2 linked regions of the Alligator mississippiensis genome follow. The protein of the gene in region 1 interacts with the protein of each later gene in a biochemical or structural test. Links are inferred from orthologs where the notes say so. Each region holds a gene or a part of one and is shown on either strand. Other genes may lie near its edges. The genes, in order: DRAP1 and DR1.

What was found.
Region 2: the proteins of DRAP1 (region 1) and DR1 form a complex in vitro, tested with the Homo sapiens proteins (2 studies listed by BioGRID). The link is inferred for Alligator mississippiensis from reciprocal best matches to the Homo sapiens genes DRAP1 and DR1.

The regions. Positions count from the first base shown.
Region 1 is NC_081838.1:4,269,555-4,285,974, forward strand, and holds DRAP1 (dr1-associated corepressor), read left to right. Parts: upstream 1-9,175; 5' UTR 9,176-9,243; coding exon 9,244-9,285; intron 9,286-10,324; coding exon 10,325-10,397; intron 10,398-10,565; coding exon 10,566-10,659; intron 10,660-11,410; coding exon 11,411-11,536; intron 11,537-12,125; coding exon 12,126-12,216; intron 12,217-12,534; coding exon 12,535-12,620; intron 12,621-12,834; coding exon 12,835-12,988; 3' UTR 12,989-13,804; downstream 13,805-16,420. Other genes in the region: RELA (transcription factor p65), read left to right, coding at 122-213, 1,093-1,227, 1,536-1,640, 1,826-2,038, 2,170-2,250, 2,801-2,902, 3,277-3,869; C15H11orf68 (UPF0696 protein C11orf68 homolog), read right to left, coding at 6,430-7,155; phospholipase A and acyltransferase 2, read left to right, coding at 15,238-15,435, 15,768-15,837, 16,145-16,374. UniProt on the Homo sapiens protein: The association of the DR1/DRAP1 heterodimer with TBP results in a functional repression of both activated and basal transcription of class II genes.
Region 2 is NC_081828.1:33,506,243-33,521,837, forward strand, and holds the start of DR1 (protein Dr1), read left to right. Parts: upstream 1-9,723; 5' UTR 9,724-10,058; coding exon 10,059-10,278; intron 10,279-15,595. Other genes in the region: retinol dehydrogenase 8-like, read left to right, coding at 581-674, 2,388-2,571, 5,358-5,579. UniProt on the Homo sapiens protein: The association of the DR1/DRAP1 heterodimer with TBP results in a functional repression of both activated and basal transcription of class II genes.

The sequences.
Region 1 (16,420 bases):
TGAGGGTCTTGGGTCTCCTGGGAAAATTCGGAGGTGAAACCCCAGCATCTGGCCCTGCCCTAGGGCCCCCTGGCGGGGGGGAGGGTGACGGCGACACAGTAACCCCCTCCCTGCCCTGCAGCTTCCAGAACCTGGGCATCCAGTGCGTGAAGAAACGGGAACTGGAAGAGGCTGTGGCCCAGCGCATCCGCACCAACAACAACCCCTTCAATGGTGAGTGGGGGAGCACTGGGCATGCATGGGGGTGCTTCGGAGCCTGTGTCCTGACCCTGGAACTTGTGGGAGCAAAGGTTTGAGCCTGGGCACTGCCCCTTTAATTTGAACGGGTTAGAACAGAGGTTCTACCTACCCCTTTAACTGGAAGGAAGCTTTGAGCTTTACTTGGGGGTGGAGATAGAGCCCAGGCCCCACCCCTTTTACTGCAGAGTGGGGGGGCTCCCCGGGGGTGGGATCTGTCCCTGGTGGCCTGTTGATGTGCATGGGGGGCTGTCTCATCCATGTGTCCTTGCCCCTCTACAGCGCTAATGAGCAGGAATCCTGGTTTTCTCTGTTTAAAAATGGCAGATTCTCTGATTAACACCCCCCACCCCCAAATCTGTGATTAAAATGGAAGTCCCCTGCGTGTGCAGGTGTCAGTGGGACGCAGGGTTTTATTGTAGGGGGTGGGGCCGGCCCCCCACCGTAGCGCACGCTGCCGGAGGAGGCATGGGGGCAGCTGCGCGTTCAGGCTCCCCGGCCTGCTGCCCTCCCCCCTGGGCACGGCAGGGCAGAGCGGGGCTGGGAAGCTCAGCGCTGCTGCGGCAAGGTGCCCTCTGCTCTGCCCCCTGCTGCTGCTGGGGGGCAGGGGGTGCCTTGCCATGGCGGTGCGGGGCTCCCAGCAGCAGCAGACCGAGCTCGCCCGCCCCACTCTGCCCTGCCCTGGCTGCCAGGTGCTGGGGGGCACAGCAGGGCAGGGAGCCCCCACCCTGCGCACAAAAGTGGGATAACCAGGATCCCTGCTGATGAGTCTGCCCATGGTGGGGGGGGCCTAACTGAGAGGCGGGGCCTATCCACAGAGGGCAGGGCCTCACCCATGTGTCCTTGCCCCCACAGTGTCACTGGAGGAGAAGGGCGAGTACGACCTGAACGCCGTGCGCCTCTGCTTCCAGGTGTGGGTGCAGGATCCAGCCGGCACTGGGCACCTCATGCTCTTGCCCCTCGTTGTCTCCCAGCCTATCTACGACAACCGTGAGCCTGGGGGGCGGGGCTAGGAGGCCTGGGGGTGGGGCTGGAGCTGGTGGGGGAGGAACTAGAGTTAGTTGGGACAGAGATGGATGGGGTGGTCTGAGACCCAGGGGGTGGGGCTTGGGGCAGGAGTGGGCATGGCTAGAAGGTTAGGGTGGGGCTAAATAGGATGGGGGTGGGCTGGTGTAGGTGTTGGGGCAGGGGAGGAGGGTAGGCTTTCCTGGGCTGGGGCTATTGGGCCAGAGGGTGGGGCTACTGGACCAGGGGGTGGGGCTAGAGCTGGGGGGTCCTGACCTGTGCCCCGCCCCCAGGGGCCCCCAACACGGCGGAGTTGAAGATCTGCCGGGTGAATCGTAACTCGGGGAGCTGCCGGGGGGGCGAGGAGATCTTCCTGCTCTGCGACAAGGTGCAGAAGGGTGAGTCACCCCGGACGCCTGGACTCCCCCCGGTGTGGGGAGGGGAGTGGGCTGAGCAGGCACAGTGCGCCGGGTCCCCTGGGTTCTCTGGAGGGGGACGGAGGCCTGGGGCTGAGAGGGGAGTGGGGATGAAGCAGGGGCTCTGTGAGCCTGGGGGTTCCCGCCCTCACTCCTTCCCCCTCCAGAGGACATCGAGGTGCGGTTCTTCCGGGATACGTGGGAGGCGCGTGGCTCCTTCTCGCAGGCCGACGTGCACCGCCAGGTCGCCATCGTGTTCAAGACACCGCCCTACGCCGACCAGGCGCTGCGCGAGCCTGTCACGGTGCACATGCAGCTGCGGCGCCCGTCCGACCGCGAGGTCAGCGAGCCCATGGAGTTCCGCTACCTGCCCGAGGAAGGTACCGTGGGGCAAGGGGGCGTTACGTGGAGAGCCCAGAGCTGGCTGCACCGGGGGGCCTATGCTCCGGGCCCGATCCTGGCCTGGGGTGTCTGCTCTGGGGTGGCCCCCTAAACGCCCTCCCCGCCCCAGGTGACTTCCACTGCATCGAGGAGAAGCGGAAGCGAACCCGCGACACCTTCAAGAGTTTTGTGCAGAAGACCCCCTTTGCAGGTGGGTGGGGTTGGGGAAAGGGGAGGGGCTTCTCCCTGGAGCAGGCTGTAGAAAGGGGAGGAGTCCGGGTGGGGGGCTTCTGCCTGGGGGTGGGGCTGGGGGGGGAGGGGAGTGGCACTTGGTTGGGGGCAGGGCTTGGGAAAGGGGAGGTGCTCATGGCTGGGGGTGGGGCTTGGGAAATGGGAGGAACTCCTGGCTAGAGGCAGGGCTTGGGGAAAGGGAAGGGGCTCCTTGCCAGGGGCTGGGTCTAGGGGAAGGGGTGGAGTCCCTAGGGGCTGGGTTTAGGGAAAGGGGAGGGACTCCTGGATGAGGGGGTGGGGCTGAGGAAAGGGGTGGAGTCCCTGAGGGTGGGGCACTTGGCTGGGGTGGGGCTTAGGTGGGGGGGTAGCTGAATGCCAGGGCTGGGGGTCTGAAGGGGAGGAGCTTAGGGAGAGGGGTCATTGGAGGAGTGGCCTACAGGGTTGTGGGGGTGGGGCTGAGGGTGTCTGGACTGGCAACTATGGGGGGAGGGGCTGGGGGTAATTAGTGACCTGCTTCTCTCTGCGCCCAGCCGCGGTGAGCCAGGAGCCACGGCACCCGCGGCGCATCGCCGTCCCCGCGCGCCCGGCCATGGGGGCCCCCAAGCCCAGCTCTGCACAGCCTGGCCCGAGTGGTAAGGGGGGTTGTGGGGGGCACACTTGGGGGCCCTTGATCCTGCCCAATCCTTGGCAAAGTAGGGGGAGGGGGCAGAAGGGTCTTGATCTGGGGGCAGTGGCTGGGGTGTGGAGGGGGGCAGGAGGGCCCAATCCTTGGTGGGGGGGGTCCCTGAAGCTCAGGGCTGCGGCAGGGGGCCCGGATCCTGAGGGGGGTGGGAAAGGGGGGCCTGATCCTGCCATGGCTGGTTCAGAGGTTGGCCCTGAGCTGTGAAACTGGCTGGGGAGGTCAGGGGGACACAAGGGTGGAGGCCTGATCCTGGGCTGGGGGCGCTGCTCTGACCCCGCCTCCAGGCTTTGACTCTGCCTCTTCCCCCTCCCTCCCTCCCTCCAGTTCTTCCAGGCATGGGCGGAGCCCCAGCCCCGCTGCCCCAGCCCCAACTGAAGCCCCCCAGTGCCTTCCCCTTCGCCGCCGCTGTACCCCGGGGCCCGCCGCCGCTGCAGGCCCTGCCCCCCGCCTCTATGGCAGCCATGGGCCCGCCCCCTGTCAACACCTTCAGCACAGTGAACCTGGAGGAGTTCTCCAGCCTGGGGCTGTCGCCGCGGCCCCCCGGCGAGGCGGAGACCCACCTGGCCGACGCGCTGCTGCAGCTGCAGTTCGAGGGCAATGCGGACGGGCCGGGGGGCCTGGACCTGGACGCGCTGGTGGACGACGTGACCTACACCAGCCTGGAGGCCATCAACACGGCCGAGTTTCGGCAGCTGCTGCAGGGGCAGCCGGGGGGGGGCACCACAGAGCCCGGCCCCCCCATGCTGCTCTCCTACCCCGAGTCCATCACGCGCCTGGTGAACAGCCAGCGGGGGGCGCCGGACGGCGAGGACCCAAGCACCAGCAGCTTTGTCAACGGGGCGCTGGGCGACGAGATGCTGCCCTCCATGGGCGACCTGGACCTGTCAGCGCTGCTCAGCCAGCTCGGGTCGTCCTAGGCTCCAGGCTGGGCCGGGGGGCAGAGGGACTCTGTTGCCCCCCCCACCCGCACGTGGGGGCAACAGAGAGGGGTTGGGAGCTGCACTGCCCCTTCCCTGGACTCTGAAGTTGCCCCCACTTCCCATCACGTGCGGAGCTGGGGGCTGAACTGCCCCACCCCAGAGGGAGCTGAAGGATGGGGGCTTGAGGCCTCCATTGCCCCTGCTGGGGGGCTGGACTCTGGAATTGCCCCCCTCCACTCCAGATGGGGGTGAGAGCTCAGTTGCCTTGAGTGGGGGGGCTGGATTCTGGAATTGCCCCCCCTTGGACTCTGGAATTGCCCCCCACCCCAGATGGGGTAAGAACAGGGTGATGAGAGCACAATTGCCCCTGCTGGGGGCTGGAACTCTTGGACTCTCACACCCCCCCCCCCCCCAATTCCCACCTCTGGGTAATGAACTACCCCACCCTCCCAGGGGCTGGGGAGGCTGGAAAGGGGTAAGTGGACTGCACTATTGTGTGCAGGGGGAGGAGAACCATAGTGGACTGGACTACTGGTTACAGGTGGGGGGGTCAGAGTGGACTGAACTAGTTGCTGGGGGAGAGATCAGACTGAACCATTGTTTTCTTGGGGGGAGAGTGGATTGGCCCATTGCTCTCCCTGGGGAGGAGAGTGGGCTGGCCTATTCTCTGGATGGGGGGGAGCAGTGGTCTGCCCACTTGCTCCCCTGCATGGCAGGAGGCTCTGCTAGTTTTGGAACATGGACTGGCTCATCGGTGCGGGGAGGGAGTGGGCAGGCCCATTGGTCATTAGCTTGAAGAGGGGGTGAGTGGGTGGACTCATTCTTCTTGGAGGGGGGAGGAACCATGTGGCTCCGCCCTTAATGAGGCAGTGGACTCTCCCACTTCCTGGGGGGGAGCAGATGATACTGCAATTGGCTGCCCTTCCCTAGAAGGCAGGGCATAGAGCAGCCAATCGGAGGCTTGCTTTGGTTATGGGGGGAGGGAACCTGCCTTAGAAGACAAGCATTAACCCCTTCCTGCCATTGTACCCCACACTGTACATGGCAGGGCAACTGGTCTCCTTTGCCCTGGGGGGGGGCAGTTTTTGGGGCCATAATACTCCCCCTCCCCTTTGCATTTTAATGCTTTGTGCCTTGTTGGGGGGGGCTAGCTTTAGGCCCCCCCATTTTGACTTCCATTACTTGTATATGGCTGAGTTGGGGGGAGGGGGGAGTTAACCCCAGGGGTGCCGAGCTGCCTGGCCTGTATTCTCACCTGACCCACCGTACCAGGGGTGGGGGGGACAGATTTAAAGCTTATTTTTATGCCGCTAATAAACCCGAGTCAAATGCGGATCCTGGGCTGGCGTCTCCCTGCTGCGCCCAGACTGGGGATGACCCCGGGGGGAGGGGGCTGTCTCTGCTTAGTGGGACCAGTCTGGGGCAGGGGATTTCAAGGGCCTGTGGCCGAGATGGGACGGGGGTGAGGGGGTAGAGGCAGGACGCCTGGGTTCTCTCCCGGGCCTGGGAGGGGAGTGGATGCTGGGGTAGGGCAAGAGCAGGGGAGGCTGGGAGCCAGGACACGGGTCTGGAAGGAGGTGGAGGGGAGACTCAGATCCCTTCCTCCTCGGGCTGCCATGACCCGGCAGAGGCAGGCTTGGAGACATGTAGGTGCCTAAATCCCTTGGGCCCTAGTCTGGGATGTCCCCTCTAGTACCCCAGAGCCAGGGGTCTGCAAAAGCCTTGGGTGGGGGGGGGGAAGAGGAGGAGCCAGAGGGAGTCAAGAGCTGCTGATTGGCTGGAAAGGAGTCATTTTTATTGAGCTTTGTGACCTCTTGGAGCTTTAAAGGGCCACTGCACCAGCCTCACTGCAGGGCTCTGCATGAAAGGGGCAGCACCTTGAGAAAGAGCCCCTGCTAGGGGGCAAAGAGCTGTGGCACTTTAAAAACAGTGGGTGGGGTGAAGTGGGGGGCAGAGCCCCTCCAGTACAGGGCCATGAGAGAGTTAAGCTGCCAGAGCTCCTGGACCACACTTCCCAGCAGGCCCTGAGCCAGGGAAGTAGTGCATGCTGGGACTTGTAGTCTCCACCCCAGCCCCAGCCCAGCCTGTGCATGGGGGCATGCCTACTAGCCCCTCCTCACCTAAGGAAGCAGTGTAATACTGGGATACAGGACCTCAGCCGCACAGCTCCAATTCAGGGGAATCAGACCCCACAGGAGCAATGCATGGTGGGACACACTGCTCCAGTCCAGGCAGGGCCAGAAACCCCCCCCCCCCCCAAGCAGTGCATGCTGTGACATGTAGCCTCACTCCCACTTCAGGTGAGGGGGGCAGACAATCTAAGGGAGGGGCAAGACCCTACACCCCACACAGAAGCAGTGCATGCTGGGATAAATAACCTCAGCCCCACAGCTCCAGTCCAGGGAGGCAGATAGTCCAAGATAGGCAGAAGGGGACAAGACCCCCACCCCCTCCACAGGAGCAGTGCATGCTGGGACACAGAGCCTCACCCCATTACTCCAGTCCAGGGACAGGGGGGTGAACAGTCAAAGGGGGGGGCCGGGCCCCCCCACAATGCTTAAGTGACCTCGGCATTGGTAACCTTGTTGAGGACGCGGGAGCGCCGGGGCACGCACTCCAGGTCGAAGCGGCTCTCGTAGATGGTAGGGCAGAGGCGCCAGCGGTTGTCGCGGTAGATGCCCAGGTAGGTGTAGACATCGGGCTTGTAGGCCAGCGGGCACTTGACGCCAGCAGCCCGGATGGCAGCGTCGGCAGCTAGCACATGCTCCTCATCTGTGAAGTCATCCGTGTAGACACACACCACGTGGCGCCGTTCACCATCAGGGTGGCAGGGGCTCACCTTGGCCACAGTGAAGCGCCCGTCCAGCACGGCCCGGGCCACACCAGCCCAGGCGTGGTCCACCTTGAAGCCTGTGTCCAGGTGGATGAGCCACTTGCCCGTGAGCACGCCGTGGTTGAGGGCCAGCTCCCGCACTGTGGTGTGGGTCACGGAGCGGCCGCTCAGCTGCAGCCGCTCCCACGCCTCCTGCAAGCCCACCACGTCACCCGCCTCAGGACTGTAGCCGGGACCATACACGGCAATCCAGCCCACGGGCCGTGGGCCATAGCGGGCCACACGGGAGGGCGGGTAGGTGGCCAGCCATGCCTCAAACTCGGCCCGAGGGGTGCGCCGGGCATCAAACACCACCCACGGGTCCATGTCGGCTGCCATTGACTCGGCCGCCAGCTGCTCAGCTGAGAAGGGGCCATCCCGGCCCCCGTCGCCCTCATCCTGGTCTGACATAGCTGCTGGGTCCTGGAGCAGGCACCTGCCAATGCGGGGGAAGGTAGGGGGGAGGTATGGGAAAAGGTCAGGTGTCACAGCTGCCTTATGGGAAGGCTGGGAGGCAGGTGGGCTAATTAGTTTGGAGTGACAAGCTTGTTAGGGTGAGGAGCGGGCAAGGTAATTAGCTCTGAGAAAGGGGCTCTAGCTTTGCACTGGTCAGGCTAATTAGCTTAGGTAAGAGGCAGGCAGACTAATTAATTCTGAGGAAGAGGCTCCCTTGTTTGGCAGGGGCCAAACTAATTACCTTAAGCAGGGGGCAGGCAGGCCAATTAGTTTCAATTAGGGAGGGCAAGCTAATTCAGGTATGGTGCAGGTGGGCTAACTGGCAGGTTGAAAGGCTCATCAGCTTCACATAGGACAGGCAGGCTAATTACCTGGTCAAAGGGGTTTATTTTCAGTAATTGCCCTAGGTTTGGGGCTAATTCACTCCATCAAGGGGCTCTTCAACTTTGCACAGGAGCAGCTAATCAGCACAGGCGGGTGGGCTAAGCTGACTGAAGAGCCTGACTGTTTTGGGAGCTACCGTTAGGGGAAGGCTGCTTAATTAGCCCGAGGATAGTACAAGCGGGCAGGCTAAACAGCTCCAATTGGAGGGGGATGGTTAATTAATTTAGGGTGCAGGCAGCTAATCAGTTGCGATTGGGAAGGGGGCTGGTTAATTAACTTACAGCACAGGGCTAGCTCCTCGGTTGTACGTTTAGCGTTGGTCGGGGGAATCCACAAGCCAATTAACCGAGCTATTAATTGGCTAGCAGCAGGGCTGTCCCTAGGGGGAGGTGAACAGAGGCAACTGCCCTGGGCCCCATGATTTCGGGGCCCCCATGGAGCAGCAGCTCTGCGTCCAGCCGCTCGCTGCACCCCACCAGCCTCTTTGGGTCCGGGGCCCACGGGAGCGAAGCAGGGGCAGGGCCCCGCACCCTGCTCGGGTCATCTCTGCCCGGCAGCTCTCTGCCCGGCAAGTAGCCCCAGAGAGCTGGGCTGGGCTGGGGCTCAGGGAGCGGGAAGGTGAGGGCTCTTTTACCCCCTGCCCTGCGGAGAAGCCCTCCCACCCCCAACGGCTTCTGATTCTGCCCCCCCACCCGGGGCAATCAACCCGCTCCCCCCAGCTGCCTCCACCCCAGGGCACTCAGCCGTGGAGGGACCCGTTCTGCCCCTGCCACGGGGGCCGCCTTACCTGCGGCAGAAGAAGGGAGCCGGGGCAGGGGGCTGCTGCCTGGTGCTGCCCTGGGGGAGAGAGGAGGCAGGTTGAGGCCGCCCAGTACGGGGCCCTGCCCAGCACCAGGTGCCCCCGACGTGCCCCCCAGCCCCATGATCAGCCGGCCCCGCGCCCCCAGCCCCCCCCCCCATAGGAGCCCCCCCAGCCCCATGTGCCAGGCCCCCTCCCCCAGTCGCTGCCCCGCCCCCGTGCCAGGCCCCCCCAGCCCCTCCCCTAATACGAGCCCCCGCCCTCACCTGGCCCCTCTCAGCGGCCCGCGGCCGCCGCCATCTTGAGGGAGGGGGCGGGGCCGAGCCCGGGGGGAGGCAACGGGGGGGGTCGGACGGGGGAAACCGGAAATGGCAGAAGCCGACACGGAGGTGCACGGAGGGTGAAGCAGGAAGTTACGTCTGGACAGAGGCGGAAAGGAGCTGCTCGGGAGGGGAGGACTTCCGGGAGAGGAGGGGGAGGGGAGGGGCTGCAATGAAAGGGCGGGGCCTCCGGGGGCGGGGCCCGGCTCGAAGGTTGCGGGAGGTACCTGGACAGCGCGGGGCGGAGTCAGCGAGACTAGGGGCGGGGCCCTCCCTGGCGGCTGGGGGAGCCCGGTGTGGGGGTAGGGGCGGGGCGTCCCCAGGCCGGGTGCGGGGCGAGCCGGGAAGGCAGTGTTGGGACAGGGCGGGCGCGGGGCAGGGGGCGGGGCCAGGCTGGGATGGGCGGTGCTAGGGCGCGGGGCAGGGGGCGGGGCCAGGCTGGGCGGGCGGCGCTAGGACCGGGCGGGCGCGGGGTAGGGGGCGGGGCCAGGCCGGCGGGCGGCGCTAGGACCGGGCGGGCGCGGGGCGCAGCGGGCCGCGATGCCGAGCAAGAAGAAGAAATACAACGCGCGGTTCCCGCCGGTGAGCCTGGCCCGGCGCCTGGGGCCCTTCCCCATCCTGGCGGGTGGGGGCTGCAGCCCGGACGGCGGGGCCCCTCGGGCGCCGGGTGGTCGCGCCTGGGCCCCTCCCTGGGCCCCCCCCCGGACGCCTCGGTTCCTTTCCGGGTCGTCCCCCCCCCCCGGCCACCCTGACCCCAACCGCCTGTGACCCCTGACCCCGCCCTAGCCGGCCCCGCCCCGCCCCGCCCATCCCCCGGAGCCTGCGCCCCTCTGGCCCCCTTCCCTGTGACCCCGACCTTCCGCCCTCGCCCCCCTCGCCCCAGGGCCTGTGACCTCGGACCTCGCAGCCTCCCCCGGGCCCTTCCCTCCTCCGGGGCTGGCCCCGGGGTATCTGTGGGGCCGGGCGGGTACGCGGCCCCCTGGGCTCCTTTGAAGACGAGGGCCTGGCCCGCATGCCTGGGCCCCTTCCCGGCACCCAGCTGCCTGGGGCCCTTTCTGGGGCCAGGGCCTGGCGCCCGGGTCCCTTCCCGACACTGGGGGTTTGGCAGCCGGACACCCCGGTTCCTCGTGGAGGCTCGGGCCCGGCAGCCTGGACTCCTTCCTAGGGCCGGGTCCAGCGCCCGACGCCTGGGTTGTCTGGGGCTCTGGGGGGGGGCTGGGGGGAGAGGGGTGGGAGCCGGGACACCTGGGTTGTCTCCGGCTGTGGGAGGGGGCAGAGGAGGCATGGGGGATTGCAGCTGAGTCTGGGGTGGGGGCACGGGGAGAGGAGGTCCGTGGGGGGCGTAGCGTAGAGGCATCTGGGAGCCCCCCGGTGCTGGGGGGGCGTGGGGCCCAGTGGATCAGAGCAGGGGAGTCTAGGAGCCCGGCTGCCTGGGTTTGATCCCCAGCTCGGCCATGCGAAAAGGTGGAGAGCTGGGATGCCGGGCACGTGGATGTCTGGGACCTCTGTCGGCTCTGGGAGGGGAGTGGGAGGAGGGGAGAAATAGCCCTGATCTGGGCCTGATCCTGGGGGGCTCTAGCTCAGGCTGCCCCCCCAGCTCTTGACCTGTTCCCACCCCCAGGCGCGGATCAAGAAGATCATGCAGACGGACGAGGAGATCGGGAAGGTGGCGGCTGCTGTCCCCGTCATCATCTGTATCCTTGGCAACGCCTGGACGCCTGCCTGGGTTCTCTCAGGGTCTGGGAGGGGAGCGGGGGCTGAGGGACCGGGCGGATGCCTGGCTTCTCTTGGACTCGGGGAGGGCAGTAGGGGCTGGAGCCCGGACACCTGGGGTCTCTCCCTTAACCCCTGCCTTGCCACAGCCCGGGCACTGGAGCTGTTCCTGGAGTCGCTGCTCAGGAAGGCCTGTCAAGTGACGCAGTCCAGGAACGCCAAGACCATGACCACGTCCCACCTGTGAGTGCCCCGGGTCCCGTCCCCTGGGCACCTGGGTGATCTGCCCGCTCCAGGAGGGGACTGGGGTCTAGGGGATTAGAACAAGGCGTGGGAGGGATCTGGGCTCTCTCCCTGCTCTGGAAGGGGAGTGGGCTGGGGGTGAAAGCGGGGGGGCTGGGAGCCCGCATCCCTGGGTTTCCTCCAGCTCGGGGAGGGGTGGGTTCCAGGGCAACGTTTCTCAATCTGGGGGTTACGACCCAGAAGTGGGTCGCAAGAACATACGAAAGAACAAACTTGAAAGTGAATTCTCCTTTAATGGAGATAAATGTGGGCACCGCGGCTCTTCCCTTGCAGGCGGGCAGAGCTCCAGCCTGCAAGGGGCTACTTGGGCCCTCTGCCCCACGCACTGGGGGCCGGGGCGTGGGGGAGCGGGTTGGGGCTGGCCGCTGAAGTGTAGAAATGGGTCCTGGTACAAAAAAGGCTGAGAATGGCTGTGCTGAGGGATTAGAGCAAGGGGCGGGAGGGGTCTGGGAGCTCTCCCCCTGCCTCACCGTGTCCCCTCTGGACAGTCCCAACCTGGCTTCTGTGCCTCAGTTTCCCCACTTTCAATCAACATGGGCTGGAGGGGCCTGGCAGGGGCTGTGAATCTCCCTGGCAGGGGGAAGTATCCTGCTGGGGGCTGTGGGAGACCTTGGGGATGTGATGGGTTGGGGGGAGGGGTGGGTTGTGGCTTGGCCCTGCCCCCTCTGACCCCCTGCCCCTCCCCCTGCAGGAAGCAGTGCATCGAGCTGGAGCAGCAGTTTGACTTCCTCAAGGACCTGGTGGCCTCCGTGCCCGACATGCAGGGGGACGCTGAGGACAACCACATGGAGGGCGAGCGGGTCTCCCGCAGGTGGGGGTCAGTGCAGGGCAGGGCCAGCAGGGAGTGCTGGGTAGTGAGGGGGTGGAGCCAGGTCTGGGGGGGCAGGGCTAGTGGGAGAGGCTGGGCTGCAGGGGTGGAGCCAGCTCTGGAGGGGCAGGGCCAGAAGGGGGTGCTGGGTGTAAGGGGTGGAGCTAGTGGGGGTGGAGCCAATGAGGAGGGGGTGCTTTAGCTCCACCAGCCCTTGTTGCCCCTGGAAAGCTAAGCAGGGTTGAAGAGGGTCTGTGTGTGGATGGGAGACCACCACTGCCCCTGCTCGGGGACACTTTCCCCATCTAGCACCTGACACCCCTTGGAAGCTAAGCAGGATCAGCTGGGATCACTTTGTGGATGGGAGACTGGGTGCCAATGCCCTGGCAGTAGGGGGTGCTGCAGGGGGGCTCTCTCCTTTTAGGCCCCAATACCCTGGGTGGGGGGTTCATCTGGGCTACCAGGGGCTCCATTGCCCCAAATTCTGAGACCTGCCATGCTGCACCCCAGAGGTGGCTGCAATTTGACTGCACCTACTGGGATTCAACCTGTGGGGGGGGCTCGGCAAGGGACTCTGATGCCTGGTGGGTCTATGCAGGGGCCGGAAGCCGGGCAGCGGGAGGAAGAACGGCGGGACAGGGGCCAAGGGCAAGGACCCTAAGCAGTCGGGCACTGACTCGGAGCAAGAGGTGAGGCGAGGGTGGCCAGGCAGGGGAAACTCCTGGGCACCGGGATGAGGGCAGTGGGAGCCAGGGGGCAAGCCTGAGAGCCCAGACACCGGGGTTCACTCCAGCTGTGAGAGGGGGGTGAGAGCTGGGGGGATGGGCTCCCAGACACCTGGGTTCCCCACACCTCTCTCACACCTGTGCTGCGTCCCTGGGGATGAGCCCCTCCCCTGCCTTGGCCCTCGGTGCCCCCAGCACCCAGCTCTGGGGAGCGCCACCCCTCCAGATGTGTGCCCGGGGGGTGGGGGGCAGGCTCCCCGTGATCTGCCTATCTCCCTCTAGGAGGACTCGGAGGACAGCGAGAGCGACGCTGAGGAGGAGACGTTGCAGACGCTGCCCCCCAGCCGCCCCCCCGCCACGTTCCCCAGGTACTGACCCGGAGCCTGGATTCTCTCCAGGCGTGGCATGCGGGGGCGGGCGCTGGGAGCCAGGATACCTGGGGTCTCTTCAGCTGGGGGGGGGCTGGGGTGTTGGATGCCCAGATGCCTGGGTTCTCTCCCCTTCTCTGTGTGGGGGGAGGCTGGGGGTGGGCCTAGGACTGGCCTATCTGCCCCCATCTTTTTTCTGTCCCCATCCCCTCAGCTCACCAGCACCATACCTGCCCTTCGCGCCCGCTGCGCCTCCTGGGATGACCATGGGCCTGGCTGTGCCTGCGGCCCTGCCCACCATGACGCCGCCAGCGCCCCTGCCCCCTGCCCCCACCCAGGACGAGGAAGACGAAGACTACGACTCGTAGCCCCCCGGGGTCCCTTTTAGATGCTGCATTGGGGGGAGGGGGGCAAGTGGATCTTACGTGTAATTATGGAGTCGGATTTCCCCCTTCCCTCCCCATGGCTGATCATTTTAGGGGTTCCCTGGGGGGTTGAACCCCCAGATCTCAGAGCCTGGGTTGCCCTGTTCTTCCCCCCTCCCCCCATTTCACACCAGCCCAGCCCAGAGTGTGTCCCCAGTCTTGCATCTTGGGGATCCCCCCCTCCCCTTCTCGCCACAGGTCACGGTGGCTGGAAGCAGCTGCTTCTCTCCAGGGCCTGGGGAAGGGGGGGGTGAGAATAGGAGGGGCACTCTCCTAGACAGAAGTGGGGGTGGGGGGGCAACAACGGGCCGTGGGGTGGTAGACAGAGACCCCTTTTGCAGGGCAGGGAGGGCATGGAGTGGGTCCCCTCAGGCTCTCCACCCTGTGCATTGTGGGTGGGGGCCAGGCAGGACCCCTTGTAGAAAGAGCCCCCTATGGGTGGGGGGGAGGGGCATCAGGGATAGGGGATCCCCTACAGCAGAGGCACCCTGAGGGGAGGGTGGGGGGATCCCGAATAGACGCAGCCCCCCTGGCAGGGAGGGGGGAGGGGAGCAGGGCATAGGGAGGGACCCCCTGGGATCCATGGCTCATAGCAGACAGGCAGCCCCTCAAGTGGGGGGGGGGGGGACCCGGGGCTGGGGGCGCTGCTTACCCCCCTTCCAGCTGTGGGGGCGGGGGGGGAGCCTGGGGGCGGATCGGGGACCTCCAGCCCCTGCGGGGGGTTTTGTATTGACTCAATAAAGGTCCGGTTTGAAGCCAGCGGCTGGCGCCACTCACTGTCCGCGCCCGTGCTGCCCCTACTCCCCGTCGCCTCCTCCAGCCCGCCTGACCCCTCTCGGGGGGCGCCTACTGCCCGCCCCTCTGGTGCAGCTGCGGCCGCTTCCCCCCTGCCCCGCACGTGGGCTACTTCCGGGTTGCCCACTGCCACCTCATTGGCTGCGGCGCCGGCCAATGGGAGCGCAGCTTACGCTCCATCCGCTACAGGAAAGCATCGCCACTCCTCCCGCTGTGGGTCTGGCGCTTGCGTCTAGTTGAAGAGGCTGCGTGGTCTTTGCGCATGCGCCGAGCCGGAAAGGCGACGGGTGTTTTGCGCATGCGCGGTTGCTAAGGGGCTTGCGGTAGCCCCGCGCATGCACGGCGGGACGCGGAAGCCGGCAGGTGGCGGCACGTGGGTGTGCGGGGCACGACGGCTCCCACAGGGGGAGCTATGGACCCCCCAGCCCTGCAGATGACACCTATTGGGGGGGACCCCAGGGCCACCCCCTCCAGGGGCAATCCATAGGGCCTGGCCTCACCTGTGGGGGGGTGAGGGGGCTGTGTGTCTGCCCCAGACTCCTGGGGTCTGTCCGTCCCCTGAATGTGTAGGGCGTGCGTGCATGATGCGGATGCCTGGGTTCTGCGTGTCTGTCCCGGGGAGGGGGGCAGTCCACATGCACACATTCAGCTGGATGCCCCGACGCGCCCTGCCCCTGCCCCCCGCAGCCCCAGACACCGCAGCCAAGTCCCACCCCGCCGCCGGCGCCGACCCCCTCTCCTGTGTCCCACGGCACCCAGACACCAGGCACCTCAGTGGGCAGCTTCTCCACGGACCCGTGGCCCTGGACGCTCTGGCCAGGGCCCCCCCCCCCCCGAGTAGGGGTCCGGTCCCGTGGCGGATCTGGCCGCACCCTCAGCTGCCTCCGTGTCTGGTGGCCGTGAGCCCCGTGCTTTCGCTAGACGCTGGGGGAGAAGGAGCTTCCTGGTGCTCGTTTAAACTAACGACCTCCCTTCATGGCCGGCCCCTGGTTCTGGTTGGAGAAGGTCGGTTGTCAAGCCCTGTGGACTGTCCCGTCACCCCTTGGGATCAAGCCTTCCTCACCCCGCACCTCGGACAGGCCAGGCCTCCTTAGTGGCTCCTCACACAGAGGTTAGAGGATTCGGCGGGAAACCAGCACTGAAATCTGCTGCTCTTGCGTCTGCAGGGGCTGGGAGAGACCCACCGGAGCAGCCCCCACCCCCTAGCACCATGCCTCTGGAGGGGGTGAGTACCTGGAGATCGCGCTGGCTTCCTTCGGGTCTGCCCTCGCCAGCCGTGGGCAGGGGCACCAGAGGCCCTCTCCGGCTGGAGATGTTCTGCCGCTGTTGGGGGTAGGGGGGGGTCTCCTGATGTCTTGGACAGGCCTGATCCTGCCTGGGGCAGCAGGTGGGCCTGGATGAGACCCCTGAGCTCCCCCCAAGCCCCTCTAGGACCCCATTCGATGGCCCCAAGCCCCCAGTGTGGCTGGAGCCAGCCTTGCACCCCCAACTCTCCTGAGCTTCTGTCTGGGCAGCCGGAGCCGCAGCCTGGAGACCTCCTCGAGTTCGACCGCGCTGGCTACAAGCACTGGGGGGTCTACGTGGGAGAGGATGAGGTGAGGGGGTGGGGGGGTGGGGGGCTGGGCCCAGCGGGTGGCATCGTGGGAAGCAGGACAGGCAAGGGGTTGGCGTAGCACCTGCTAGACCTGGGGACCTCGGGGGGGGATGCGAAGGCGCCATGAGCCAGACACCTGGGTTCTGGGCGGGGGCGTGGGGTGGCACTGGACTGTGTGTGTGGTGCCAGATGCCTGGATTTGGGGGGCAAGGCAGGGGTCCCGGAGGCCTGGGTTCTGTGTATGTGTGTGCGTGTCCCTCGGGCACCTGGCTTCTCTGCACATGGGTGCGTGCCCAGGCTCCAGCCCTGCTCTGCTCTCCTCCCTCTCCCCAGCCCGGGCTCCTGGATCCCTTTTGGAGGTTCCTCGGCTTCACCCGACCCAAGTGTGTCGTCCACGTGGCCAGTGAGCGCTGGGGCGGCTGCTGGGGTCCTGGGTAGGGGGATTGGACCCCACTCCCAGGCAGACCCGGGTGCTGGAGAAGCTGCAGGGGGAAGGAGAGGGTGAATCCCCCCCCCCCCCCAACCAGCCCCCCTTTTCTGCAGCCAGGGAGGGGAGGCTGCCCGGACCCTCGATCCTGGGAGGTGACGGTGAGGTGCAGCCTGGAAGAGCAAGGGGAGAGAGGTGGAGGTTTCCAGTGTCAGGGGGACTCGGCTGGTGGGGGTGTTTAAAGGGGCCTCGCCCAATTCCTTCTGCCCATGGCGATGTGCAGAGACCCCCCTGGGTGTGGAGGTGCAGAAGGAGCCGCTGGAAGTCGTGGGGGCTGGAGCCCGGTACCGCGTGAGGAACCTCCACAATGGGGAGCTGCAGGCCTTCCCCCAGCGGGAAATCATGGCCCGAGCCAGGCGGCAGCTGGGGCAGCCGTTCCCCTACGACCTGGTGGAGCAGAACTGCCAGCACTTCGCCACCTGCGTCCGCTATGACGTGGCCAGGAGCGCGCAGGTTGGTGGCACAGATCTGGAAGGGACGTCGCTGTCGGAGCAGGGGG
Region 2 (15,595 bases), on another chromosome or scaffold:
TATATGAGCAATGTCATGCTTGCTCTGTTGACATATACCTCCTCAACATCCCCAAGGAGAAACAACTCCAAATCTCATTGAATCTTAAATCAATCCTGCTGTTATAATGCTTTGGTTTGGAAATTATGCAAACTGCATGGTACATGTAGAGCCCTATACATGTGACCAGTGTATAAGAACCCAAAATACTTAGCACAAACATACACGATAGGCCATATCCTCAGCTGTGATCAAGGAGCAATTTTAAAGTTTCTCTGATTTACACTAGTTGCCATTAGTACCCTATAACTACAAGTAAGTTGCAGAAGAGCCTCAGCAAAATGCCTTTCCTCTTGACAATCACTGATCAGTGTATGTGTCAAAAAAAAGATTTTGCCATCCACATACAGTTATTAGGGTCACTTTTAACATTTCAGATATGTTACTGTTAAATTAGCCCAGCCTCAGTGAGGATTTTTTTATGCCTTTACAACCACAAAAAAATTAAGACTTTTTAGAAAATGCAAGATGTTCTAAAATTCAAAATTATCTTAGCATCTTCCATGAGATAAGTTTCTAATGGTTCTGTTTTTGCCTTCAGGTATTTTGTTTAATGATGTATATGCTGCATCTAAGTTTGCTGTGGAAGGATTCTGTGAAAGTTTAGCCATACAGGCACTCCAATTTAAACTTCGGTAAGAATTGATTCGGAGATGTGGATGGATTTCAGACTATACTTTAAAATATATCATGAGTTATAATTGGTAGTTGTGCAGCAACAGCAGTTTTATAGTGGGCTCTTAGCCAGGAAAAAAAGGATAAAGAATTTTTCTTTAACTGACCTTGTGGAAGGTATTCATGTACAAAAATGCACTGAAACCTCCTTGCATAAGCTCCTTGCCTTCCCCACTAAAGTACCGAAAATGTTTATATGGCAATGTAAAGCTACCTTTAGACTGGACAGCATAGGTACTTTGAAAATATGCGTAGTTTATGTGCACATCCCTGGGAACATGCACTCTCAATCTACAGTATTACAGGGATGTTGTTATAGACATGCAATATGTTTGCCTCAGTATATTTTATCTAGTCTTTGTGCTCATTTATGAGAACTCCCAGGAGAGGCTTAAATTAAAATAATTCTTTAACATTTTTATATGTAATACAGGTATGTACAACCATTTCCATAGCATTCAGTAGGAATTGATCAAGATAGTGAGGGAGATAGCTACAAGTCAAGGACACAGGATAGCAAAAATTATATAGAGAAAAAGGGTGTGGTGTACATGGCAGGGCCTAATTTTTTAAATATAGCTACCCTTTTATTTTAATGTTATTGTTTAAAGAGTTAATAAGATGTGTATGTGTAAGTAGTTAACTTGTATGCAAGAGCAGCATTGAGCAGACTGCAATTTGGGGGTTCTGCTTTACAATTAATAGCATGATACAGCCTAAAAATTAGGGTGAAGTATAGGTATTCCTTATCATGTAACACAGAACTGGAATTACTAAGGATCTGCTGTTGCAAAGATCCTGTTCAAAGAGGAAGTAAGTACGTTTTGTGAACAGAGAGGTAAAAAAACAGTTTTGTAAACTGAGATGCTTAAAAAACAGATTGGAACTGGAGAAGGAAGTGGTTTAATGACTTAATGTAGTTTTGAAATTTGCTGTTATGGATCTCTGGGCAAAAAATGACCTCCTCCAGCAAGCCCATCAACAGCAAAAGTCTGTGCAGATGTGCTAAGTATTTATACAGTTCTTAGTATTGCACTATAAAGTGCTTCATAAGGCACTTTATACTGTACCAGAGACTCAGACCAAAGAGACTCAGCTTTTGAGTTCTTTCCTTCTCTCTTTCCTTCTTTCCTTTCTGCCTTTCTTGCTTTACTTCTGCTCTTATTAGCATGTGAAACTCTGATGAAAAGGTCATTTATAATTTTGTCCAGAAGACAGTGAAGTTTATGGTTGTCCTTAGCTTTTTGTTGCAGAGTCCAACAGTTGTGAGGCAGCACAACCCTCCTTCCTTGGCCAGCCTGGAACACGTGTTTCCTACCCCTCTAGCCAGTCTGGAATGTGCACGCCACATGTGGCACAATCGCAGACTGGGCAGGCACATGGCACAAATCCTGGACAGGCTGGAGGTGGGTGCCATAGGTGCCACATGTCCCAGAGTGGGTACCACATGTATTGAACATCCTGGACTGGCCACAGCAGGTGCTGCATGTGGTGCACTTTCTGGGCCCTGCATGTAGAGCTGGTGTGGTGGTGTGTGGATCACCCGAGACCCAGTGGCAGCACTGGGATCTGGCCTATGGGCCATCTTTGACATTGTTTGTCTATAAGAATGGTAGAGTTGCATGTTTCCCACATAGGAAAAAAACACTAATATAGTTTTGTTTCTGGAATAGGCTAAGTTTGATTGAACCAGGACCTGTGATCACAGAATTTGAAAAAAAGGTGTATGAAGATGGAATGAAAATGGACCTTTCGGCTGCAGATGAAGAAACAGCTCGTATGTTTGCTGATGTTTACCTTAAAAATTACAATCAGATTTTTCAAAGCCTGGGACAAAGTGCTGAGGAAGTTGCAGAGGTATTCACTGGTATTACTTTGTACAATATAAGAATCCTGTAGTTGTTTGCTTATAGAACTATACTTAATTGCAAAATTATTAGATTTAGAATTTAGAAAAAGCGTAAAATTCTTCAGGTTTTAAAAAGTAAGTATGACTTAATCTTTAATACTATTAAATAGAGAACTGTAACAACTCATCTCATGAAACCTTGTGGATTACAGTGTCACCTGGAGTCGAGATGAGATTTCTGTCACTGAGGGACTGGTATATTCTGTGGCTTATGTAGAGCTTTAGAGCAAGTCAATCTCTGCCTGAGATCTGTCCATAGAGGGGAAAAGTTGACACCATCAGGGAAACTAGAGGTTTAAAAATTGTGCTTTGCTCATGGTGTCATAGAATTCAAAGCAAAAATTCATCTAGATGATGATGGACAGCTTTAAAACAAGAGTACATCTTTAATACACAAAATACTAATTCAGGCCATGGTCCTGCCTTAGAAGAGTCCGTACTCCCATGCTTCACCATTTACTTCAGTAAGGCGCTACATGGGTGCATAGGTCTGTCTACATAAAGAGTTGCAACATCAGGAAGCCTGCAGGGTCCCGCTAACTTACTGTTGACCTTACAGACTATGATTCTTAATGATTTTTAGTAGGGCTGTCAGTTAATCATAGTTAATGTACTTGATTAACACAAAACAAATTAACGCATTAATTTTTGTAATGAGCATTAATCACACGCATCCATTTTGACCAGGGGTGGGCAAAATATGGCCTGTCCCACACCTTCTTCGGACTTGGCCTGGTGAAGCAGACCAGCTTTGGACCAACCGGAACGCATTTGCACAGCCCTGACCTCGGCCCACCCTGCACCTGCTCCAGGCCGCCCACCCACTCTGAGCAGAGGCAGCAGCCAGGCAGAAGCTGCTGCTCAGCTCGAGGGAAAAGCGACTCTTCCCCCTGCCTGCTGCTGGGCCCTTCTTGCTGCAGCTGCCCAGAGCCTATGCCCGGGCTGCCCTGCGGCTTCTCTCTGCCACTGTCACTGCTGCCTCCAGCCCACACATCAGGCCAGTGGTGGAAGTGCAGAGGAGCAGTAGGGCAGCCTGTGTGGGCAGGTGCAGCAAGAAGGGTCTGGCAGCGCTGAAGGGGAGGGGTCGCTGTTTCCCTGCACCGAACAGAAGCTTCTGCCTGGCCGCTGCCACTGCTCAGTGTGGGCCGGTGAGTCTGGAGCAGGCACAGGGTGGGCAGGGGTCAGGGCTGTTTACACAAGTTCCAGCTGGCCTGCTCTGGCCAGCAAAAGTCCAGAGTGGGCATGGGGCAGGCCAGGGTTGGGGCTGTTGGTGGTGGTGAGGGAGAAGCCGCAGGGCACAGGGGCTCCAGGCTGTTGGGTGGTGGGGGTTGGGGGGTGGTGCTGACTATTGCTTAACTGTGTGATCAAAATTGTGATTAATTGCAACTATTTTTTTTAATCTTGCAATTAATTATTCATTTTTTTTAATGGTTTCTCATCCCTAGTTTCTAGCTTTAGCATGTTGCTCTTCCCAGTTAAATTACCGGAGCACTGACTTCCATGGGATGAGAGTTAGATCCTCACTGTGCACATCTGAAAATCCCACACACAGTATATTTTAAAAAACTGTACTTGTTTTAAATAGAATAAGGCCCCCAAATTGCACAGCAGTCAGTATACTGTGTGTAAACTGGCAAATATGAAGTGTCAGGCCCTCTTTACATGCTTCAGGTATCTTGTATGTAGCTAGTTGACCTTGAGACCAGCTACACATGCAAAGTACCTATCATACTATAAAAAGCTTCAACCTGCTATAAAGTTAGACACAGGGATCCGGAGTCCTGCAGCTGTGGAAGCTGAAACCCAGCTGGGTCCCAAAGCCAGGGGATGCAGGTGCCTTGGGGGTGTGTTCAACTCCTGGGGCTGGGGGATCACAGCTGCTGCCATCTCTCAGCCTCTGGGGTTCATGAAACGCCTGGGGCTGGGGGATTGCAAGTTATAATCCCCTAGCTCTGATGGTGCATGGGATGCCACCACAGCTGGGAGCCCCTAAACTGAGGGGGCTCCCATCTGCCACAGCTTGCTTCTTGTTGGTGCAGGGGGAGCCTAGGATTGGATTCCCTCTGTACCAGCAGTAAGGGATGATGGGACCTAATGCACAATCCCAGAATCACACCTCCTGCCATGCACATGTGCAGGTAAAGGTGTAAAGGTTTAATTGCTTATTAAATCCTGTCACACCTTTACCTGCACATGTACAGGGGCCCTCATTCTCACATTTGATACGACATATAGTATCTGAATTAAGAATTTTTGCCTCAGCCTTCATTTTTACTAATTTCACATTTTGTTCACCCAAATGACATGACTCAACAACTCATATTGGTATAGATCAGTTAACAAGTCTGAAAATGTAGTTGATACATACAGCCCAGTTGCAGAGAGATCCCTGATGAGAGATACTGATTTTCATGTACTCTGCCACTGATCTCGAACTAAGTAGATTTTTTATATTTTTGTGTAGTAAAACAATTGACGATATTATCTTTTAAAATTGGAAAATAAAACTATGCTACTTGGCCTCAAAAGGAAACAAGTTTATATAGTTTCCAAATAATACTAAGCAAAAGCCTTAATGCATTTTAACCACATTCAAATATGGTCATATTTCCCAGGGGAAATTGGAAAACTCTAATGCTTGCTCTACCATTCTGCTTGGTGAAAACCAGACTTTTACATGTTTACTTTGATAAATGATATTTTGTAGTTATGGTCCCATTTCTCATTTTTACAGCACACGGTAAAGATAATTCTTACAGAAAATCCACCCTTTCGCCATCAGACCAACACCTTGTATACCCCAGTAACAACTCTGAAATATGCTGATCCAAACGGAAATCTACCTATTGATAGCTTCTACAAAATGGTTTTTCATCATGACAGAATCTTCCATGCAAGTCTTAACTTTTTCAAACTGCTGAGATGGAGCAGTAGAAAGAACATTGCATCTATTTAGTTGATATATCAACATTGGCTTATTTTGAATTTAAAGTTCCCAGACCAGTATTTTGAAGATAAATGCTCTTGCCAGATCTGTTGTTAATAATTTTGGTTATCTTCTTTATGTACAGTTGTGCCTCGTAAAAATATTAGACTTATGACTATCAATATTTTGAATGTCTGTAGTCAACATTTATTGGAATTAAAAGTGAAACCTCCTGAGAGCAGTACAAAAAAATCTTATTTGTAGAACCTTATTGTAATATATAAGTGCTTTGCTAATAGTCTCAGGGGTTTAGGTTGTAGCCGTGTTGGTCTAAGGACATAGGCAGACAAGGTTCCTTGGGTGAATTTGGTATCTTTTATTAGACCAACCCAAATAGTTGGAGAATATTTATTAAGCAAGCTTTCGGATTCAAAAACTCTTCGTCAGGCTAAGGAAGTTTCAGCAGTTGGTGTGTGCTCTTCCTAGTGATTCTTGAATCACCTACTACCACCTAGCTCTCTAATACTGTATTTTAGAGTGTTAGAACAAGCTTGTTGTTAATAATATAAAAGATGTACAGATTTTTAAAATTGTCTTAAAATATAGTAACTGGAAAGTTTAAACAACTGATGTGTGTTTTAGTTTTTGTATAAATAAAAGAACATTGAATGTGTTATTTTTTTAAATGATGCTGCTACTCCTAAAGGGTCAAATTCAGCTTTGATATAATTTAGTAGGAGTCAGTGCAATTATCACAGAAATTAATTTGACCCAAGAAGCTTAAACACAATGCTTTGTGTATTTATAATCACTTTTTTATAATATCTTATGGTTATTTCCTTTTTTTATTAGGAATACATCAATATAATGAAGATTTTCCAAGCTGGCACCTAAAACTGGAGACTCTTAAAAATCCATATTTAGTTTTCTAGATAAATGCATTTAGATTTTCAAAAGCGCTGAATACATGCATCTCCCACTGACTTAATTGGGAACTTAAGTTGTTCTCTGTATTTGAAAACAAGACTCTTTTTACCTAGGTGTTTAAATATAGGTTTAGCAACCTACAGTTTCAGGCACCCAGATTTGAAAATGCTGGTCCTCAGCTGTCCTACATTTACTGCTATATTTGAATACCTGTAGTAGTCTGTTAAATTATGCCAGTTCCACTGACTAGTTCTGACACATCCTTGGGTTCCGCATACAAAGTCAGGTTTTCTTGTTTTATTTTTACACCTTGGCTACATTGTTAGTTTTTGAAAGGCGATATTTAGAATCTAAAGCATGTTCCTCAACAAACTGGAATTTTGAAGTTGGGTAAATTTTAAAAGTAATTTCCTATAGAGTGCTCTCTTAGACTTCCATAAAATTCAGCTTCCTGTACAAACTCCTACCATTTGCTTTTATGTGATTGGGCTCTTGTGGATTAACAGTGGTGGTGATTCTCTTTTGATTTTTCCCCAGCTATCACTGATCAAGGAGTCTTGCAGAAGAGACTCCTGGCCCTGGGCCTTATGTGATAGCGAGGGGCCAGTTTTCTGGCCTCTTAAATACAATGTCCTGGGTTCCAGATGCTGCTGTATCATGGGCAGTAACCACTGTCGAGTCTCACAGGGCAAACACTTGGCCTCAGGCTCTATATAGTACAGGCTATAGGCCTGCTGTTGGCGGGCTGTAAATTCAAGTCTCTTCTCTGTGGTGCCTTGCCTGGATGAAGTGCTGTCCCATCTGTGACCGTGACTTTCTTTTCTGCCCACCTGAACAGAGTGGGATCCATCTCCCAAATCTGCCTGACTGCTGCCACAGCAGGAATGCACCACGTTGTAGGGCCTGGTTTGCAGCCACAAGCCTCCTCAGAGGTGTGGGGGCCACAAGCCAGGCTTCCCCTTGCCCCCCCATTTGGGGTCTCTTCAAACTATAAGGGTGGAATGCTGTATTATTGGAGGAGTCTAAAATTATTCTGTGAGTTGCCTAGATGGTGCCTTGTGGCTGGGGCTTGGTTTGCTCCCCTGGGATCTTACCAGTCCAAGTGGATGTGCTGGGAGGTCCTAGCAAAGATCCATAGACGTGGCATACCAAATTGCTTGTTGATCACCCAAGCACAGAGTCCTGAGTTCAGCTCAACTGTGTTCCTTTCTCCTCCCCCTCTCCCTCTTTCCTGGCCAGTAGGGTTTTTTTTCCTTTAATTTGAATTTTCCCCAGTCCCTTGAGTTATCACTAGTCAAGGAGACGCCTAGTCCTGGGCTTGCTGGCTTCCTGACCACAAGGTCCTGAGTTGTGGATTCCACTGTGACTTGACCATACTAGGCACCTTAAAACTAGCATGTCCATGGCACGTTGGCTTCTTCAACCTGGCTGACAACCCATCTGGGAGAAGGAAAATTCCCAAAATTCAGTCTCACTCCCTGGCACACAATATCTGTTGATTGGTGATAATGTCCCCATTTAAAATTGTGACCATTGTCACAGACCAAATTAAATATAGCTCCAAATCTGGATCAGATGCGAGAGATATTGACATATTCCCAAGCATCTTGCAGTTATCCTTTAGAAGAGGAAGAGATCAAGCCTGTGCAGTAGGCCCCACAGCTGCAGTTAAAAAAGCAAGTGGAAGAGTGAGTAATGAGAACTGGTACAATAAATGCTGAAAGCATTGCAGGCAGGAGAGAAATAGTAAACCTCTTGGAAATAAGGAATGGGCAAGCAGGTTGATTATAATAAACACAAGGGAAGGATAGTAGTGTAAGAGAACAAGGAGCAGGATATAGGATCTTCTCTAATGCAGAAGAGAGTTGGAGTAATATTGCATGGCAGCCTTAAAGGCAGTGTGACTGAGTTCCCAAGTGACAGATTGATGGCAGCTAAGTTTGTGATGCCGGAAGGAATGTTGAACATATGCGCAAAACAAGGGGGCTGCAGAGAAGAAGAGAAAAAGGCTGCAAGAGTGCCTCTAGAATCCAATAAGAGCAATGAGAAACTGGATGTGAATGGACGTTAGAAAAAGAAATGAAGGGTTTAAAGTAATGTTGGAGGAATGAGTAGGGAGTGAGGAACAAGGATGGAGAGAAGATACTGGAAATGGCTGAAAACTTGAATATGTTCATTGCTAATACTGCATACGTGTGCTAATTGTCACTTACACAAATGGTCAGAACAAAAGTCAAATTGTTCTGGTCTTGGGAGCAGGTATAAGATGTGCAAAACAGATTCCCTAAAAGTATACTGGTGTGGTGCTGCTCATGGGAAATGCACTAAAGTAAATAACGTCACTTTGTCGACAACGCTCCCATTCTCGATCTCTCAATTACATGCAACAGAAATCTAGAAGTTTGTCATAGTGAAAGTCATAGCCAACAAATGTTTCAGCTTTATGCTTTTTTAAAATACAGTGCAAACTGTTTGCCAAAAATGCCTTTAAGTTGGAACAAACACTCATAGCATCAGTTTACTGAAAAGGTTTTCTAAAAGGTAAGTTCCCCAGGGAAATTCCTGAGAGTAGTGCCTAGAAAGCTAGGTTCAGTGTGGTCCTGGTAGGAAAATACTGTATTCCTTGATATCATGCATCTAAAAACTGGGGCAGCTAACAGTACTGTTTACGGCCGGGGCATCCAAGTCCCTGGGCTACGAGGCTCTTTCCAGGCAGGAGCCACAGGGCCAGCAGCAGCTACAGCAGGTCCAAGGGCAGCAGCAGCAGAACAAGCAGGGTTGTTAGCACAGCTCTCCGCACCCTCCCACCTGCGGTGGCCATGTCCAGCCCCGGGCAGGGCCCTGCCGGCTACCCTGGCTGCCACCAGGTCCTTTGAAGGGTGCGCGGACAGGCGATGGGTGAAGACGAGCATTTGCGGCCAGCTCAGGCTCGTTCCCGCCTGGACGAGGCCCCACCCTGCAGGGCCCAGAGGCCAGCGGGGGCTGCTCGGAGTCAGCGGCGCCGAGCTGTGCCGCAGGCCCCGTCGCTGCGCCCGGGGGCGGGGGGGTTTGGCGGGCGGGACCCGGGACGGAGCCGAGCGCCCGAGGAGCTTCCTGCTACGCGGCGCCCGCTCCCGCCACCCGCTGCTCCCAGCCGCTCCGCGGAGCCTCACAGCCCGACCCCGAGCCCAGCGGGCGGGGGCTGCCCCCACTTCCGGGCCGCGGCACAGGGGATCCCGGAAGCGGAAGTAGCCGTGTCCGGCTTCCGGCGGAAGTGGCGCTCTCGCAGGCTGTGCCCCGCGTTATCGCGTTTCCCTCTCGCGGCCGCTCTCAGCTCGGGGTGTCGCCGCCGCCAGCTGAGCCGAGCGCGGGCTCTTCTGCCGCCGTCTGCCCCGGGCCCTGGTCATAAGGCGGCGGCGGCGGCCGGCATGGCCCGAGCGCCCGGCGGTGGTGCGTGAAGGATGTGGTGGCGGCAGCAGCTGCGGGAGCCCTGAGCGCGCCCGGCCCCCGGGCGGCCGGTCGGTCCCGGAGCCGCGAGCGCCCCGCGCTGGATGTGAGGAGCGAGCTGCCGCGGGGTCGGAGCGCGGGAGCGAGCGAGCGAGCATGGCTTCGTCGTCCGGCAACGACGACGACCTGACTATCCCCCGGGCCGCCATCAACAAGATGATCAAGGAAACTCTCCCCAACGTGCGCGTGGCCAACGACGCCCGCGAGCTGGTGGTGAACTGCTGCACCGAGTTCATCCACCTCATCTCCTCGGAGGCCAACGAGATCTGCAACAAGTCGGAGAAGAAAACCATTTCCCCTGAGCATGTCATCCAAGGTGGGCGCCCGTGGCTTCGCTCCCGCGGGGGCCAGGGTGGGGCAGGCTGCCGGGAAGCAGAGGTCTCGTTACTCTGCCCTGCAGAGGCGGTGGGGCTGAGGTGACAGATATAGAAGCCGTGGCAGTCCAAAGTCAAATAGAAGCCGGGCAGGTCCGCACCTTCTAGACCAGTGGCTTTCAACCTTTTTCATACCAGGACCCATTTGTAAACATCCGTGGCCAGTCCTACTCTGGACCTGCTCTCACCAGCCCCCCTGTGTGTGGGGCAGGGGGTCCCCAAAGCAGCCCCTGGAGCTCTGCCAGCCTGCAAGGGAAGAGCCCCCCTTCCCCATGTTTTTCTCGCTTAAAGGAGAATCCATTTTTAAAGTTTGTTTCTAGCTGTTTCACATGTTCTTGCGACCCGCAGGTTGAGAAATGCTGTTCTAGGCCAGCCAAAGAGGACAGATACATATAGCAGTCCAAGCTTTCAGGAGCTGAAGCTTGCCCTCCCTCCGGGGCTGATGAAACCATAGTGGGGATTTCTCCCTTCCAGGCTCTGTTTTGTGTCTCGCTTCCTGGAATGCCTGGGCCAGGTGCCGAATCCTCCTGTATGCATGAGGTGAAGATGATCTTGGCCAGCAGCCATGCAGGCTGCTGCTCCCCCATCTTCCTCACAATGATTTGAGATCCAGTAATTGGTCTGAGGTTGCATCAGAAATGGGGGACAGGGGGATGACGCAGGGTTTTCAGTGAGGTCCAGGTCTTTCATTTCTGGATGAGAGTCCAGTCTAAGTGATGTAGTGAGGAGGGTTCTGGGATTCTGACCAAGCTGTCCTTGGACCAGCTTGGCAATTTCTGTATTAATTTCTGGTGTAGTAAGTGTGTCAATTAGAAATGTGCCCTTGTGTTCTCTGACATTTGGTTCCTACCCCATGTGGCTGCTGAAAATGAGTTTTTCTAGGATCATTTGTCCTCTTTTGACTACTTCCATAGCTGCTACATGCTCTCCTGTCTTCAAGGATGATGCTAATTAGGGTGGCTGTTTCGTAAATTACCACAAGTTTTGACAGTTTCATTACTGCCCACAGAGATATGAGGAGTAATAGTGAAAGTGAGTAGAGTTTTAGTTTTACTCTGCTACTGCTTGACAAAATTGTGAATGGCAGCAGCATAACCAGAGTGTTATCTCCAAGTCCAGAAAGACAACCAAACCATGCATTTGTAGCAGTTCCTTTTGAAAGCTGATTTATGAAGTATTAATGAATAATTGAAATAATCTAGATTATGATGGTTTTTACCAACTCAAGTCACTGAAAAGCTTTCCGTTTGCAATTTTTAAATGGATTTTTCACGTCCAAATTATGGTGAGCAGGTGAATTAAACTTTGTTGCAATAAACAAATCTTTGAAACTATACTTTGTGGTAGCATTGCCTGGAACTTGGACTCTAGAAAGTAAAACTCATACTTAGAATGTGTGTGATACTTCTTGTATGCTTTTGTGCTGATACATATAGTTGCCTCAAGTAGTCAACAAAGGGACCAGCACCATTTTTAAACTAGGAATAGTAGTGAGGATTAAGAAGCAAGACCAAGTGAAATCGGGAAATTGAATTGGGAAAGGCTGAAGAGTGGGTAAGATTGATCCTGTGGACAGATTTAATTTAAAATCATACTAATTAGTTTACCTTTTGTGCACAGTGATTATTTTTGGTAGGAAGTATATTCAAGGGGTTTGTATGAGGTTGGATACTAAAGTGAAGTGATGCACACAAGCATGTCTGTAAAGTATTGTCCCTGGTGTTTTATTTCATTTTATTTTTTTAAATAAAAAAAAACTTTAATTCCCAACTATCACACTTAGGGCCTGTTAAATATGGTAAGGAGGGTTTTATTGCCATAGAATTTCATATTATTCTTATTTTCCTTTTTTTGTTGTCCTTATTTACTCTTCAGAAGTGCGGGTGATGGTGGTAGTTTCACCTGTTCCTCCCATCCCTGAATCAGAAGGGTTTATGTCATTAAAGAAAATAATGTAACTTTTCTATAAGTGGCATATAATTACAGTATTTTCTGTTCCCCATAATTAAAGTGTTTGGGTTTTTTGTTTCTTCTGCCTTACATTGAGTTTTCTACAATAACTGACAACATTATTTGAAATTTTAGAAAGGTCTGATCAATTTTTTGTAAAACAAAACAACCCCCTGCCACCCCACCCAAAAAAACCAAACCCTGTTTTTATCTTATGGTACTGATGTGCTCCAGTAATTCTGGCATGTCTTCACATTCTGTTTGGATTTACTGCTTAAACCAATTTACTTGATACTGTAAAGAGGCTTGACTACCCTTATTTTGAGGCTCAGCCCTTCTGTTCTTTTAAAGAAGATGCCATGTTTGCTTTCCCCCCTAGTTCTAATATAGTAGCTAATTTTAATGAGAACCTGCATTACTGCTGCTGTTAGTAGCAGTTCAGTCTCTTTCACATCTCTCAAATCCATTAAACAGCAGTTGTAAAGTTTTCCTTCTGAATTTTATCACTGTTCTAGCACCACTTGTGAGACGCTCTAACTTCTTCCAGCTTAATTTGTCAAAAGAGATGATCTGTGGTAGGTCTACCTTTTCTTGCAGTAAACACTGGTGCACAGAAATCATCTGAGGTCTCAGCAAGGTCTTTATCCTTGATTACTCCTTGTGTTCACTTCTAATACAAAGGACTGTCCACTTCTGTAATCTTTCTTTTCCTGTATATTTATATAATTCCTTGGGGTTTTTTATGTTTGTTGTTTCCTCTTCAAAATTTCTCTTATCCTTAATCTTACCTGCCACAATTTGATCTCTTATTTGTTGCTTTGCTCAGATTAGGTTTCAGTTTTCTGAAAGTTACTTCTTAAACCAGAAACGTATTATCTTTTGCACGGCTATGTTCTGTTTCTAGCTGGGCTGCTTTATTTGTTCATGTGCCTGTGTCTTTGTTTTAAGCGGTTTACATTTAGAGTAATTTATTTTAATTACCTTCTGGGTATTTTGCAGGCTTTTTTTCTGAAGTTCAGTAGAACAGTGCTAAATTTTGGCATGATTCCTTTCAAATCAAGTTTAGTCTTTCTTTGAATTAATGGACGTAATGTTTAAGTTTTTGAGGGGCAAGATGCTGCAACTGGATCTTTGCAGGCAGACTCACTGAAAATCAATAGCAAATGTACTTATATTGTACTCTGCTTAATGCTGATAATGTAACTTCTTGATCTCAATATGCTGAGGTAATACTAAAATGTATCCTGTTGTGTAACAAATCAACTTGGAATTTGTGCGAGTCTCTACATACACTAAAACACTTGTTTGGAGGATTTCATTATTTATTTCTTAATGTAAATAGTGTATGGCATAGGCAGTATCTAAGATGCAAGTCCACAGTTGACATGTCCTATTTATTCCTTTCAATTTATTAAAGTGCCACAAAGCCAAAGGTGTGCTGTACACAGATAAAAGATTAAATACATTAAAAAGTGTCTCAGACGGCTGGAGCCGACTTGAGGAGGATCACTGATTACTCAGCCGTCAGGCGGGCTGGTGGATGGAGAGGCGGGACATAGCGTATTGGTTGCAAAATAACTTTTACTTTAACTTTACTTACGCCGCTGGTGGCCGCGACGCAGGTGGTAAGGTTGCTTACGTAGTTACAGGTAACGAGTTGCTTGCATAGTTACAGGTAACTGGAAACAAAACGAGCCGGCGAGTTTGTAGACAGAAACGAGCATGCAGGATGAAGGATACATCGGGAACAGATGGTGACAGGGAGATGTTGGAGGATGGCCAGTCTGCCAGCTTTTCTCTGCCACGTGGCAAAGTTCTCCGTACTCTACCACGTGCTCAGAGCTCTCCAACTTGGGCGGAAGCTGCACGGATTTTTATACATTTAGAGTAGCCAATAACAGACTGCCAGGTGGGAATAGCTAATGAGGCAGAATGTACCAAATTTGCGGTTATTCAGGGCAGTTGTGTTGTGACAGGGGCACTCAACTCATTTGGTTATGACATGCCCCCTTGACCATGTCACAATAGACAAGGGAATTAGGTTACAAGTAATTTTCGTCTAGGAACTCGTCGTCTTTGCAAGGTTCAAGTGGTAAATGGGTATATACGTAAGCAGATAGCTTAATGAATCACTTTTTAACAAACTGGAAAATACAACAACCCATACATACAACAATGGCTATTACGATTAATGGTAAACACAAGGTAATGAGGGGAGTTAGTAAATGCATTAACCAAGATGACGTGTCCCATCCCATCCAGCCGAAAATGTCGGCTAACCATCCCTTTCCGATCCCAGCGACGTTGTTGGTGTCTGCGGCAGTTTGTTTTATGTGGTCGAGCTGATCTTCTAATGGAATAGTAATGTTGGGTATGCTAATACAACAGTGTTCCTTAGACAGGTTAAGGAATTGACACACGCCTCCCAGATGTAGTAACATCGCGTCGAGGGCTAAGCAGTTTTGCATGGTCATGTGCGATGTAGCCTGTAATTGATGGTTTAATAACTGCAGGGATGTTTTGGTACTATTGGCTAGAAGCTCAACTTGTTCAGCTAACTTGGCAATAGCGACTCTCGCCTTGCCTATCCCTATTCCCCACGCAAAATAACCTTCAAGCGCCCACACGAATTTTTGGTTGAATTTCTCTTTGTCCGTTAACTCTCTCCACACCGGAGCGTGTCGCTTATGGCGACGAAGTACGGCCGGACTACTCGGGTGAGATGTGTCAACACTTAAGGGGGGGCAAAGCATTACTGTACTCAAAAAGCATTGGACGCCCGTTAAGGCGGCCGGGAGGTTAGTGTAAAGCTGCCTGTCCGAACAAGCCCATAGCAGCCCTAAAGGGGCCGGCGTACTAATTAATGCACAGCTTTGACCTTTCCAATTAATTAAAGCTACCTCGCGAGGGAGATCAACCGTGTTGGCGAGCGCATCGTAGCCGTGGCACCACTGACTGAGTCTGGCCACCCTTAAGATGGGGTAAAAATACGAGCACCAGTCTTGGGCATCCGATACATTGATGGCTAGCGACCTGTTCCAAGAGACTAGAGATCGGGGCCGCTGAAGGATGGATGGAACCAGGCCAGACTCATCTCGTGTCCTTGTTTTGTTCGGGCCTGGGGGAAGGGCTAGCTACCATGTTGGAGTAATGGCTGTGGGGTTCCAGGTTAACGAATTATCGTCCCTCGACTACTTTACTCCTTCTGGGTTAATCCCCCATGGTATCTCTGAACACGCGATGTTATAGAAGAGCAGGACGGGGGCAGGCGGAAACATAGCCTCCGATCTGCAGACAGAGTGGTTCATG